Linked DNA regions of Xenopus tropicalis. The protein of the gene in region 3 purifies or fractionates together with the protein of the main gene of each other region. This does not show direct contact. Links are inferred from orthologs where the notes say so. Each region holds a gene or a part of one and is shown on either strand. Other genes may lie near its edges. The genes, in order: fbxo7, klhl42 and cops6.

The links.
Region 1: the proteins of cops6 (region 3) and fbxo7 purify together in Homo sapiens (affinity purification with mass spectrometry; 4 studies listed by BioGRID and IntAct, counting the BioPlex papers as one, with this or other methods). This does not show direct contact. The link is inferred for Xenopus tropicalis from reciprocal best matches to the Homo sapiens genes COPS6 and FBXO7.
Region 2: the proteins of cops6 (region 3) and klhl42 purify together in Homo sapiens (affinity purification with mass spectrometry; 3 studies listed by BioGRID and IntAct, with this or other methods). This does not show direct contact. The link is inferred for Xenopus tropicalis from reciprocal best matches to the Homo sapiens genes COPS6 and KLHL42.

What each region holds. Positions count from the first base shown.
Region 1 is NC_030679.2:7,492,638-7,496,845, forward strand, and holds part of fbxo7 (F-box only protein 7), read right to left. Parts: intron 2,841-4,208; 5' UTR 2,822-2,840; coding exon 2,700-2,821; intron 2,624-2,699; coding exon 2,350-2,623; intron 1,677-2,349; coding exon 1,461-1,676; intron 1,383-1,460; coding exon 1,241-1,382; intron 765-1,240; coding exon 681-764; intron 1-680. UniProt on the Homo sapiens protein: Substrate recognition component of a SCF (SKP1-CUL1-F-box protein) E3 ubiquitin-protein ligase complex which mediates the ubiquitination and subsequent proteasomal degradation of target proteins and plays a role in several biological processes such as cell cycle, cell proliferation, or maintenance of chromosome stability.
Region 2 is NC_030679.2:10,512,290-10,517,026, forward strand, and holds the start of klhl42 (kelch-like protein 42), read left to right. Parts: upstream 1-1,321; 5' UTR 1,322-1,807; exon of another isoform or gene 1,808-1,833; intron 1,834-1,852; 5' UTR 1,853-2,103; exon of another isoform or gene 2,104-2,283; 5' UTR 2,284-2,623; coding exon 2,624-3,453; intron 3,454-4,737. UniProt on the Homo sapiens protein: Substrate-specific adapter of a BCR (BTB-CUL3-RBX1) E3 ubiquitin-protein ligase complex required for mitotic progression and cytokinesis. The BCR(KLHL42) E3 ubiquitin ligase complex mediates the ubiquitination and subsequent degradation of KATNA1.
Region 3 is NC_030679.2:144,236,990-144,240,342, forward strand, and holds the end of cops6 (COP9 signalosome complex subunit 6), read right to left. Parts: intron 2,503-3,353; coding exon 2,388-2,502; intron 2,303-2,387; coding exon 2,210-2,302; intron 2,102-2,209; coding exon 2,001-2,101; intron 1,556-2,000; coding exon 1,415-1,555; 3' UTR 1,033-1,414; downstream 1-1,032. UniProt on the Homo sapiens protein: Component of the COP9 signalosome complex (CSN), a complex involved in various cellular and developmental processes.

The DNA.
Region 1 (4,208 bases), about 140 Mb from region 3:
CTGAGTTATACAGGGAACTCTGAGTATCACTCATGTATTATAAGGGATAATGTACCCCCTACTGTAAATGATAAGGATATTAGCAGTCACTGAGGGGTTCTGTGACCCCCATATAAAGGCACAAGGCTGCAGGCTGAGTTATACAGGGAACTCTGAGTATCACTCATGTATTATAAGGGATAATGTACCCCCTACTGTAAATGATAAGGATATTAGCAGTCACTGAGGGGTTCTGTGCCCCCCATATAAAGGCACAAGGCTGCAGGCTGAGTTATACAGGGAACTCTGAGTATCACTCATGTATTATAAGGGATAATGTACCCCCTACTGTAAATGATAAGGATATTAGCAGTCACTGAGGGGTTCTGTGCCCATATAAAGGCACAACACCAAAGGCCGAGTGCTTTTATACAGATCATGGAACGGAATATAAGGTGACTATTTTACAACAGGGGGTACCTTATTTATTATAACACATCATGTGATACAGATGACATCACTGAGCACCAATTATAACTGATGACATCACAGAGCACCATTTAAAAGGATATCGTTTACAGAAAACGCATGGCTCTTGTGTTTAGACATAAACTTCTGATCCCGGCTCTTCATCCGTTAACCCTTTCCTGACAATTTTTTTGGCCCCCGCACCCCCTTTACCGGCGGAATCTGCCCCGTACCTGTCTCGGGGTAGGAAATGTAGGAATTGGTCGACAGCTGAAGTTTCCGCACACTTTTCATCTCGCTGTTAATCTTCAGGGTGGCTGCACGTGCAAAAGAGGAGAAATGAGGATGGCGGCAGCCATATTGCAACAAGATGTGAGCCTATGCTGTCGGCCAGGGGTCCTCAAACTGTGGCCCACGGGCCGGTTCCAGCCCCCTGGGGTAGGTGGTGGTCTGGCCCCCCCATTGCTTAAGAAGTTTGAGGACCCCTGCTGTAGGCAATGAATACAAACAGGAAGAGCAACTGTCACCCTAGAATTCAGAGTTTATAGGTGCTATGGGTGACCTGGTGTCACATGGTTCCTATAAACAGAATGGGGGGGGGGAATATACCAGAGCAATGAGAAGGAGCTTTAATACAAGGCTGCAATGCAATGCATGTACACTAGGTGGGGCACTAACTCTTTAACATGCTCCTGTGCCACACACACAGCAGGGGGCAGTACAGACAGCAGATGAAGGCAGGGGGCTGGCAGACTGGGAGGAAGAGGAAGGATAAAGTACAAGTAATACTCACCATTGATTATGACCAGCTTGCCCATCGGCAAACAAGCCAAGGTGGCCGAGACTTCAGCGCACAGAGGGTGAGTGTAGTGCAGCCTGTAGGCCCCCCCGCTGCGCCAATCCTGCGGCATACACAGCACCTTGCTTTCAGCACCCTGGGGGGGGACAAGGAAGGGTTACCGACCCACCAATCACAGATCCCTGGGATGGGGGGGGCCATATTGACTCCCTACCTTCTGTAAGTAGCCAGTCTCCAGCATCAGTAGGTGGATGGCGACTATGAACGCGTCGCTGGCGCCGGTGCAGCCGGCAGTTTGGTACAGAACCTCCAGGGAGTGGGGGATTTTCCCATCTAGTGCCTCGCTGCAGAGCATCACCTCCCAGGCCGGGCCCGACATCCCATCCTCCATGGCCACGTCCTCCGCTGAGGGAGGGGCTTGCTGGGCAGCCTGGCAGCAAAACCAATGGGCATTAGATAAGCCTGTCCGTCTCTAGCCCCATGGCTACTGCCCCATGGCTACTGCCCCATGGCTACTGCCCCATGGCTACGGCCCCATGTCTCCTGCCCCATGTCTCCGGCCCCACGTCTCCTGCCCCACGTCTCCAGCCCCACGTCTCCAGCCCCACGTCTCCTGCCCCACGTCTCCTGCCCCACGTCTCCTGCCCCACGTCTCCTGCCCCACGTCTCCTGCCCCACGTCTCCTGCCCCACGTCTCCTGCCCCACGTCTCCTGCCCCACGTCTCCAGCCCCACGTCTCCAGCCCCACGTCTCCTGCCCCACGTCTCCTGCCCACGTCTCCTGCCCCACGTCTCCTGCCCCACGTCTCCGGCCCCACGTCTCCTGCCCCACGTCTCCTGCCCCACGTCTCCAGCCCCATGTCTCATGCCCCATGTCTCATGCCCCTTGTCTCCTGCCCCATGTCTCATGCCCCTTGTCTCCTGCCCCATGTCTCCGGCCCCATGTCTCATGCCCCTTGTCTCCTGCCCCATGTCTCCGGCCCCATGTCTCATGCCCCATGTCTCATGCCCCATGGCTACTGAGTAGAGAATTATTTCACCCATCCCTACTACTGAGTAAACCAGGAATACCAGTACTACCAGTAGTATCTCAGCACACATTACCTGAGCCATGGCTTGGGCTCCTGTGCTATCATCTGACTGGCTCTTGGGCCTCTTGTTAGTCGAGCTGCAGGGTTGGCTGGGATCCACCAGGGGGCAGCCAAGATCCCGCTTATCGGGGGCCGGAGCAGGAGCTGGCTGCGGCGGGGGCAGCTGAGAGTCCGGCAGTACCACAACAATCAGATCCCCGGAGATGATCCCCGCAGACTCCAGAGTGTTCTGATCCCCAGTCAGGGCATCTTTGCCATTCAGTGTGATGGTGAAATTTGCCTCAGTGCTGCAAAGGAAGGATATAATAATTAAAGGGTAAGTGTCCCTGCTGTATGTCTGTTCCCAGGGGGGCAGCGCATTACCTGTAGCCCAGAGCCGGCAGGGTGACGGAGGATAATTTACTGCGCAAGTCTCCCAGGGTCGGACTCTCCGCCTCCAGCTCTAAGCGATTGGTCTGCTTCCTCACTCTCACCCTCAGCTTCATTCTTATTGGCTGCGCGTCCCTGAGGGAAGAGAAAGGCTTCAGTAAAGGAACACGAGCGGCTTCTGATTGGCTATCGCTTCAGGCAACACATATTGTATTATTATCCTTTATTCATATAGCGCCGACATATTCTGCATCATTCCCATCAGTCCCTGCCCCAGTGAGCTTACAATCTAAGGTCCCTATCCCATTCCCATCAGTCCCTGCCCCAGTGAGCTTACAATCTAAGGTCCCTATCACATTCCCTTCAGTCCCTGCCCCAGTGAGCTTACAATCTAAGGTCCCTATCCCATTCCCATCAGTCCCTGCCCCAGTGAGCTTACAATCTAAGGTCCCTATCCCATTCCCATCAGCCCCTGCCCCAGTGAGCTTACAATCTAAGGTCCCTATCCCATTCCCATCAGTCCCTGCCCCAGTGAGCTTACAATCTAAGGTCCTTATCCCATTCCCATCAGTCCCTGCCCCAGTGAGCTTACAATCTAAGGTCCCTATCCCATTCCCATCAGCCCCTGCCCCAGTGAGCTTACAATCTAAGGTCCCTATCCCATTCCCATCAGTCCCTGCCCCAGTGAGCTTACAATCTAAGGTCCTTATCCCATTCCCATCAGCCCCTGCCCCAGTGAGCTTACAATCTAAGGTCCCTATCCCATTCCCATCAGCCCCTGCCCCAGTGAGCTTACAATCTAAGGTCCCTATCACATTCCCATCAGCCCCTGCCCCAGTGAGCTTACAATCTAAGGTCCCTATCCCATTCCATCAGCCCCTGCCCCAGTGAGCTTACAATCTAAGGTCCCTATCCCATTCCCATCAGTCCCTGCCCCAGTGAGCTTACAATCTAAGGTCCCTATCCCATTCCCATCAGTCCCTGCCCCAGTGAGCTTACAATCTAAGGTCCCTATCCCATTCCCATCAGCCCCTGCCCCAGTGAGCTTACAATCTAAGGTCCCTATCCCATTCCCATCAGCCCCTGCCCCAGTGAGCTTACAATCTAAGGTCCCTATCCCATTCCCATCAGCCCCTGCCCCAGTGAGCTTACAATCATCTAAGGTCCCTATCCCATTCCCATCAGCCCCTGCCCCAGCGAGCTTACAATCTAAGGTCCCTATCCATTCCCATCAGCCCCTGCCCCAGTGAGCTTACAATCTAATGTCCCTATCCCATTCCCATCAGTCCCTGCCCCAGTGAGCTTACAATCTAAGGTCCCTATCCCATTCCCATCAGCCCCTGCCCCAGTGAGCTTACAATCTAAGGTCCCTATCCCATTCCCATCAGCCCCTGCCCCAGTGAGCTTACAATCATCTAAGGTCCCTATCCCATTCCCATCAGCCCCTGCCCCAGCGAGCTTACAATCTAAGGTCCCTATCCCATTCCCATCAGCCCCTGCCCC
Region 2 (4,737 bases), about 130 Mb from region 3:
CAGCATCCTGCAGCTCCCCACCCCAGCATCCTTCAGCTCCCCACCCCAGCATCCTCCAGCTCCCCCCAGCATCCTCCAGTTCCCCTCTGCATCCCACCCAGCATCCTCCAGCTCCACTCCCCAGCATCCTGCAGCTCCCCCCAGCATCCTCCAGCTCCCCCCCAGCATCCTCCAGCTCCACTCCCCAGCATCCTGCAGCTCCCCTCAGCATCCTCCAGCTCCCCCCAGCATCCTCCAGCTCCCCCCAGCATCCTCCAGCTCCACTCCCCAGCATCCTGCAGCTCCCCCCAGCATCCTCCAGCTCCCCCCCAGCATCCTTCAGCTCCCCCCAGCATCCTCCAGCTCCACTCCCCAGCATCCTGCAGCTCCCCCCCCAGCATCCTCCAGCTCCCCCCCAGCATCCTCCAGCTCCCCCCCAGCATCCTCCAGCTCCCCCCCAGCATTCTCCAGTTCCCCCCCAGCATCCTCCAGCTCCACTCCCCAGCATCCTGCAGCTCCCCCCAGCATCCTCCAGTTCCCCCCCCAGCATCCTGCAGCTCCCCCCAGCATCCTCCAGCTCCCCCCCAGCATCCTCCAGCTCCCCCCAGCATCCTCCAGTTCCCTCCCAGCATCCTCCAGCTCCCCCCAGCATCCTCCAGTTCCCCCCCAGCATCCTCCAGCTCCCCCCAGCATCCTCCAGTTCCCCCCCAGCATCCTCCAGCTTCCTTCCCAGCATTCTCCTCAACATCCTCCCAGGTAGGGAGGGCTGTTAATGTAAGTCATTTCTATTTGACGTTCCTAAACCTGAGTGTCCCCTCCCAGCCGGTCAGTTATAGCTCCTAATGCTAACCAATAATGGCTGCACAAATATGGCCGCCGCCGCCTCATAGAGGGACATGGAGACCAGATAGGTAATATAAATGCATTGGGCAAACACTTCTATGGGCAAATAAATAAATGTACAAACAGTGTCATGACAGTTGCAATAAAGGGTTTAATTTCTGGTGTCAGTATCTCTTTACGGCTTTTACAGCTAAAGTCTCTCAGTTGGGCGATAAAGGCTGAACTCCAACTACTATGTAATATCTGCTAGGGTTGCCTGTTCCCATGGGGATGGCGTCTGGCAGGGATATAGCCCTCCCATAGAGAATCCCAGCTGCACATATAAGGCCAGTGTTTATGGGGCATGGGGGGGAAAACACAATATGGGAAGGGGAGGGGCCTGTCTATGAAGCAGACGCTTCCATGAGGAGGTGCGTCTGGCAATGGGGGCGTGTCTTTGCGCGGCTTGTGGTTATAAGAGGGGCAGGAGGCGTGTCAAGTACGTGTTTGCGTATAAGTGGGCGTGGTCCCTGGCACGCAGGTGGAGGGGACTGGGTTTTTTACAAGCTTCTGCACATTCAGGAAGTGAAATGCCTGGATGGTCAGTTTGTATTGGGGCGTTCTCTCCATGTTGGGTAAACGGAAAGACTGGGCAAGGGGGGCAAGTGGGGGCAGCCAATGGGGCTAGAGCTGCTGGCACAATGAGCTGAATGGACAAGCTGCACAGATGGGATTCTCTCTCTTTCTGGACTTTCTTGTTACTCAGTTTGCTGAGCTGAAACGGGACCGGCTGATGGGTGGGGAATCCAGGTCCATTCTCTAGTTGGGCAACTGTTCCTGATTGGAGGGTGTTGCTTCTGGGCTGTTATTTTTGGAGTATTTTTCCAAGAGATTCCTTAATTGTCATGGGTGGGGGGTGTAAGGAACATTGGGCATTTCCTTTATTGGTTCTCTGCCTGATATTCTTATGCCCAGAGTGGGTGCTTGGTGCCCAAGGTTCTTGTAGGTATGGGTGTTTGATGCCCTGATTAGGTGCCCAAAGTTCTTGTAGGTATGGGTGTTTGATGCCCTGATTGGGTGCCCAAGGTTCTTGTAGGTATGGGTGTTTGATGCCCTGATTGGGTGCCCAAGGTTCTTGTAGGTATGGGTGTTTGATGCCCTGATTAGGTGCCCAAGGTTCTTGTAGGTATGGGTGTTTGATGCCCTGATTAGGTGCCCAAGGTTCTTGTAGATATGAGAGTTTGATGCCCTGATTAGGTGCCCAAGGTTCTTGTAGAAACAAGGGTTTGATGCCCTGATTAGGTGCCCAAGGTTCTTGTAGGTATGGGTGTTTGATGCCCTGATTAGGTGCCCAAGGATCTTGTAGGTATGGGTGTTTGATGCCCTGATTAGGTGCCCAAGGTTCTTGTAGAAACAAGGGTTTGATGCCCTGATTAGGTGCCCAAGGATCTTGTAGATATGGGTGCTTGATGCCCTGATTAGGTGCCCAAGGTTCTTGTAGATATGAGAGTTTGATGCCCTGATTAGGTGCCCAAGGATCTTGTAGATATGGGTGCTTGATGCCCTGATTAGGTGCCCAAGGTTCTTGTAGATATGAGGGTTTGATGCCCTGATTAGGTGCCCAAGGTTCTTGTAGGTATGGGTGTTTGATGCCCTGATTAGGTGCCCAAGGTTCTTGCAGATATGAGAGTTTGATGCCCTGATTAGGTGCCCAAGGTTCTTGTAGCTATGCGGTGCACAAATAGTGTGATGTTTTTATGTTGGTAGATCCCTTTTCTGGTTCCATTTCTGGGTTCTTGAAGGCATCATGCATGTATAAGTGATGTCCTCTGTAGAAACAGTTCAGATACTGTTGGGTTCTAGGTGTTACTCTGTACCTAGGGAACAGCTGGTGGCTCAGAGTGGTTTCTTCCAGTCACTGTTCCGGTCGGGCATGAGGGAAAGTCATGGGGAACCAGTGACTCTGCATGGGCTGACCCCTGAGGGCCTGGAAGGGGTTCTCCGCCACATCACTGGGGGTTCCCTTCTAGAAGCTCAGGGGGGTTCCGAGTTTGGTTTCCAGGTTGTTTCCTTGGAAGATCCAGAACGTTGCTCACTGGAGGATGAATCAACATGCGGCCTGGAGTCATCGGGCCCTTTACAGGCTGTGGTGGAAGCCGCATCCTACCTACAGGTCCAAGGTCTTCTGTCTCTCCTGCAGTCCTCCATGTCCCTGGACACGTGTCTGGATATCCTGGAGGTGGCGCAGTTGCATGGCCAGTGGGATTTGGCTTCGGCAGCTCTACATTTCATGGCTGCTCATTACCTTTCTATGTTGAGGAGGGAAGACTTCCAGCAGAGCCCAAGGTCCCTCAGAACTCGTGTCCTGGAAGAGAGGCTGAGAGGAACCCCAGCCCTTATGGTCCTGTCCCAACAGGGCCCTGACAACTGGGTGCTACTAAGGTACCTGGAAGGGGGAGGCGGTTGGCAAGTCATGACCGGAGAGGTCCCACAGAGTATGCTGAGGGTGCAAGGCTATGGGGCTACCACACTCCATAACTACCTGTTTGTGGCTGGAGGTAGGAGGGACAATGGGCAAGAGATCAGTGCCGTGCACTCGTACAACCCGAGCAACGGGTGCTGGACCCAGGAGCCCTCCATGAACCAAAAGAGGTAATCAGGTGGGGAATATTGTTTTCCTTAGTCACTTTGCTTTTCTGTTCTGGTTCTGTCCTATGAAGCTATGGCCACTGAGGAGCCCAGGATGCCAGTCTTTTATTCAGACAATTGCCTGGTTGCTTGGTCAGTGACCCTAGCAACCCCTAACTAGTTTAAAGTCTTATTTTACAGGTTATCTTCAAATCTGTCATTCACACCGCTTCCTGATTGCTAGGGGGAAATATACTGCTTGTGTTTGAGTAGCATTAGCTGTGGTGACTAGTGGACCAGGGCATTTTGACTGCTGGTGTTTTTCACCTGTGAAGCTACCGCAGGCCTTCGATTTCTGTGCACAAAATAAAATATTTTGTGGTTTACTTCCCCTTTACATACCAGGTGCAAGGTTCCACTCCAAGTTCTAAACTTGGATGAACTCATATAATAAAATAAATTTATATCCTGAGTCCTGTATTGAGAATCTAAGCACACCTTCTATTTTATCATCTATAGGAACCATATTAATTCCCCTTGTTATTGAACTACAACTCCCATCATCCTGTCAAACTGACATGCAAGGGAAATAGCAAGGTGCTGAATTGTGCTTAGTACAGGGGAATCCCTATGTGCCATAGTTTTATGGTATCTCTCTGTACAGGCTATGAGCAAACTTAGGGGGCTGTTCATGCTGAATTGTGCTTAGTACAGGGGAATCCCTATGTGCCATAGTTTTATGGTATCTCTCTGTACAGGCTATGGGCAAACTTAGGGGGCTGTTCCTGCTGAATTGTGCTTAGTACAGGGGAATCCCTATGTGCCATAGTTTTATGGTATCTCTCTGTACAGGCTATGAGCAAACTTAGGGGGCTGTTCATGCTGAATTGTGCTTAGTACAGGGGAATCCCTATGTGCCATAGTTTTATGGTATCTCTCTGTACAGGCTATGGGCAAACTTAGGGGGCTGTTCCTGCTGAATTGTGCTTAGTACAGGGGAATCCCTATGTGCCATAGTTTTATGGTATCTCTCTGTACAGGCTATGAGCAAACTTAGGGGGCTGTTCCTGCTGAATTGTGCTTAGTACAGGGGAATCCCTATGTGCCATAGTTTTATGGTATCTCTCTGTACAGGCTATGAGCAAACTTAGGGGGCTGTTCCTGCTGAATTGTGCTTAGTACAGGGGAATCCCTATGTGCAGGCTATGAGCAAACTAAGGGGGCTGTTCCTGCTGAATTGTGCTTAGTACAGGGGAATCCCTATGCTGCCATAGTTTTATGGTATCTCTCTGTACAGGCTATGAGCAA
Region 3 (3,353 bases):
GACGACCAATATCACAAAAGCCTTGGATATCGGTCATCTAGTCGCTCGGGTGAGACAAAAGGCGCCCAATCAAAAGCTGCGTTTAGAGCCGAATCGTCAGATAGGGGCAGAATTCCTATTGTTTCTACTTCCTTATCCGACGATTCAGCCCTGAACGGTGTGTGCGTGGGCTCGCTGTAGAGCAGCTCCCATTCCCATAATACCTCGTCTCAGCAATGGTAAGCCAGTGGCAGACAGTCATGTGTGGGACCAGTTGGGCCGACCTGAACCCACCTACCTGCCACTGTGTAAACTACGCGATATCACAAACTGGATGGAATGTCAGATCAACCAGACTACTTTTTTTGCTGGGCAAAGTCCCCCAGATTACAGACTGCACACAGGATCCAGGCAGAGTACTAATAGCCAGGGAATGAGGGACTTTCCATCCGAAAAACCATCTACTGTGAGCATATTTCCATGGGGATTTGACCAAATGCAGAGCTGCTCATTACATTAACTGGCCAAACCAACTGATCACTGCAATGTGGGTCGCCACTTCCGAAAATATCCCACCATTAAACTGAGAGAGACTTATCACTCCAATGTGACCAAAACCTTGGCTCTCACGTCATCATCAATAAATCTCCATACTTCTAGGTGTGTCCGATATCAGCCATTTAGACTGATTCGGCAGCTTATCTGCCCATGAATGGGCGCTACCAACTAGCCTCCCCGACCAACATCTGGCCGACCTCAATCGCGCAGGTCTGATTTTTACGTTGGATCGGAAACCACATTGGCTTGTTGAACTGCCGTTTTAATTAGCCCGATATTGCCCACCCATAGGTGGACATATCAGGAGGAGAAGATCCGTTCACTTGGCAACCTCTCCAAGCGAGCAGATCTTACGTTGTATAGCCTCCTTTACTCTCAACAGCTGTGCCACTGGCACTTTAAAGAACCTGACCACCACCAACAGAGCCTCACGACCTACCCTTCAAAGAGTCGGACAGTAGTGACCCCAATAAATGTGGCACTAGGCACTCAGTCTGTAGGTGTTAACATCAAGCTTTATTGTCCATGTCTCTTGGACTAAGAACCAAAAAAAGAACGAAGGCGGGATGTTCTATTACAGAGTCACTTAACGCAGGCATGGGAGCTGTGTAATTGTTCTACTGAGTCCATCGCATATGCCAGCCAATACCCTGGGATCCTAGAAGAAGAGACCACGCATATGCCGACCAATACCCTGGGATCCTAGAAGAAGAGACCACGCATATGCCGACCAATACCCTGGGATCCTAGAAGAAGAGACCACGCATATGCCAGCCAATACCCAGGGATCCTAGAAGAAGAGACCACGCATATGCCAGCCAATACCCAGGGATCCTAGAAGAAGAGACCACGCATATGCCAGCCAAAACCCCGGATCCTAAAAGAAGAGACCGCGCATACGTCGGCCAATCCCCTGGCGGTCATAAAGGATGTTGAACTTGTTGACGAACTGGTTCATGGTATTGCACGTCTTGGTGATAGTGCCCAGGTAAGACATCAAGCCCACATCATTACATTGCTGGCGAATGAAAGAGAGAGAACAATAAGGGAGGGGTTTATCGACCAGTAAATTAGCATCCTTTCTGTGTTTTATATGTTAGCACTGCTGCCTGGCACAGCTAGGATTGCAAAATCTGTTTTGATCAGGGTACACTGCTTGAAATCTCTCCAAAAACTACTAAAACTGACCCTGCTTTGTGTGTGATTGTGACGGGGAATTTAGAATGGAAGCCTGCTGGGTCAGGGAGTGAAGCGAATTATTGTGGAGCAGCAAGTTATGTCAGCATTACGTCAAAACAGGATATTTATACAGAGGGGTCGCTGGTCCAGTGTAACCTCGACTGGGCCGAGCATCAGAATCATCATTCCCTTTATTAATTTATTTGTCCTTTCCTGTACTCTCTCTGCTTCCATAACACTGTTCACGTGGGTAAGTGTACAAATAAGGGAACATTCGCACTTACATCATAGAAGTCCATCTTGAACTTGTCCGTGCTGAGGACAGGGAGACAGTGGCACAGAGCAGAGGCTTCTCGTAGAATCTCGTGATTAAACGGCACCTCCCCTAGTAAGGAAAAGATTGGAAGTGATTGGAAGTGAGGCTCTGAGATGCAGGAAGTGCATTCAGGGTGCAATGAATATATGCAATGTATAAAGGTGATTGGTTACTTACCCGCCTCGGCCGCCCTAACATATTCCAAGATGAGCCGGACGCGGCTGTGCAACATCTTGATGGCGCTGTGCTGAGCTATGAGATGCTCCGCCACTGTAACAGAACAGGAGGTGTTTTACACTAAGGACAGTACGAGGCACTGCCCGCCCTTCCTTCAGTCTCAGACGCCTTCCCATACCTGTCGAGTTCTCTCCACTTCCCGTGGCGGTCATCCTGGCTACGTGATCCACCCCGATCCTCTCTGCTTCTTCTGTGGCCAAAGTGTAGGACAGTTCCGCTAGAAGCATGGTGGCCTAGAAAATTATAGTGGGGCAACAAAAGCATAGGGATGTTTAACTGCTCTCTGGTGCAACTCTACGCCCTGAACTAGAGGAGTACTGAGCAACCATTGCAGGAAGTCTTGTGTGCCGATTGGTCGGCTGGGAACCTGTATCGCTTCGCTTCTACTACTGTGCATCTGTTAGTGACTATCACTATAATAATGTACCCCCCACTGTAAATGATAAAGGATATTAGAAGTTACTGAGGTGAGGGGTTCTGTGCCCATATAAAGGCACAAGGCTGCAGGCTGAGTTATACAGGGAACTCTGAGTATCACTCATGTATTATAAGGGATAATGTACCCCCTACTGTAAATGATAAGGATATTAGCAGTCACTGAGGGGTTCTGTGCCCATTTAAAGGCACAAGGCTGCAGGCTGAGTTATACAGGGAACTCGGAGTATCACTCATGTATTATAAGGGATAATGTACCCCCTACTGTAAATGATAAGGATATTAGCAGTCACTGAGGGGTTCTGTGCCCATATAAAGGCACAAGGCTGCAGGCTGAGTTATACAGGGAACTCTGAGTATCACTCATGTATTATAAGGGATAATGTACCCCCTACTGTAAATGATAAGGATATTAGCAGTCACTGAGGGGTTCTGTGCCCCCCATATAAAGGCACAAGGCTGCAGGCTGAGTTATACAGGGAACTGAGTATCACTCATGTATTATAAGGGATAATGTACCCCCTACTGTAAATGATAAGGATATTAGCAGTCACTGAGGGGTTCTGTGCCCATATAAAGGCACAAGGCTGCAGGCTGAGTTATACAGGGAACTGAGTATCACTCATGTATTATAAGGGATAATGTACCC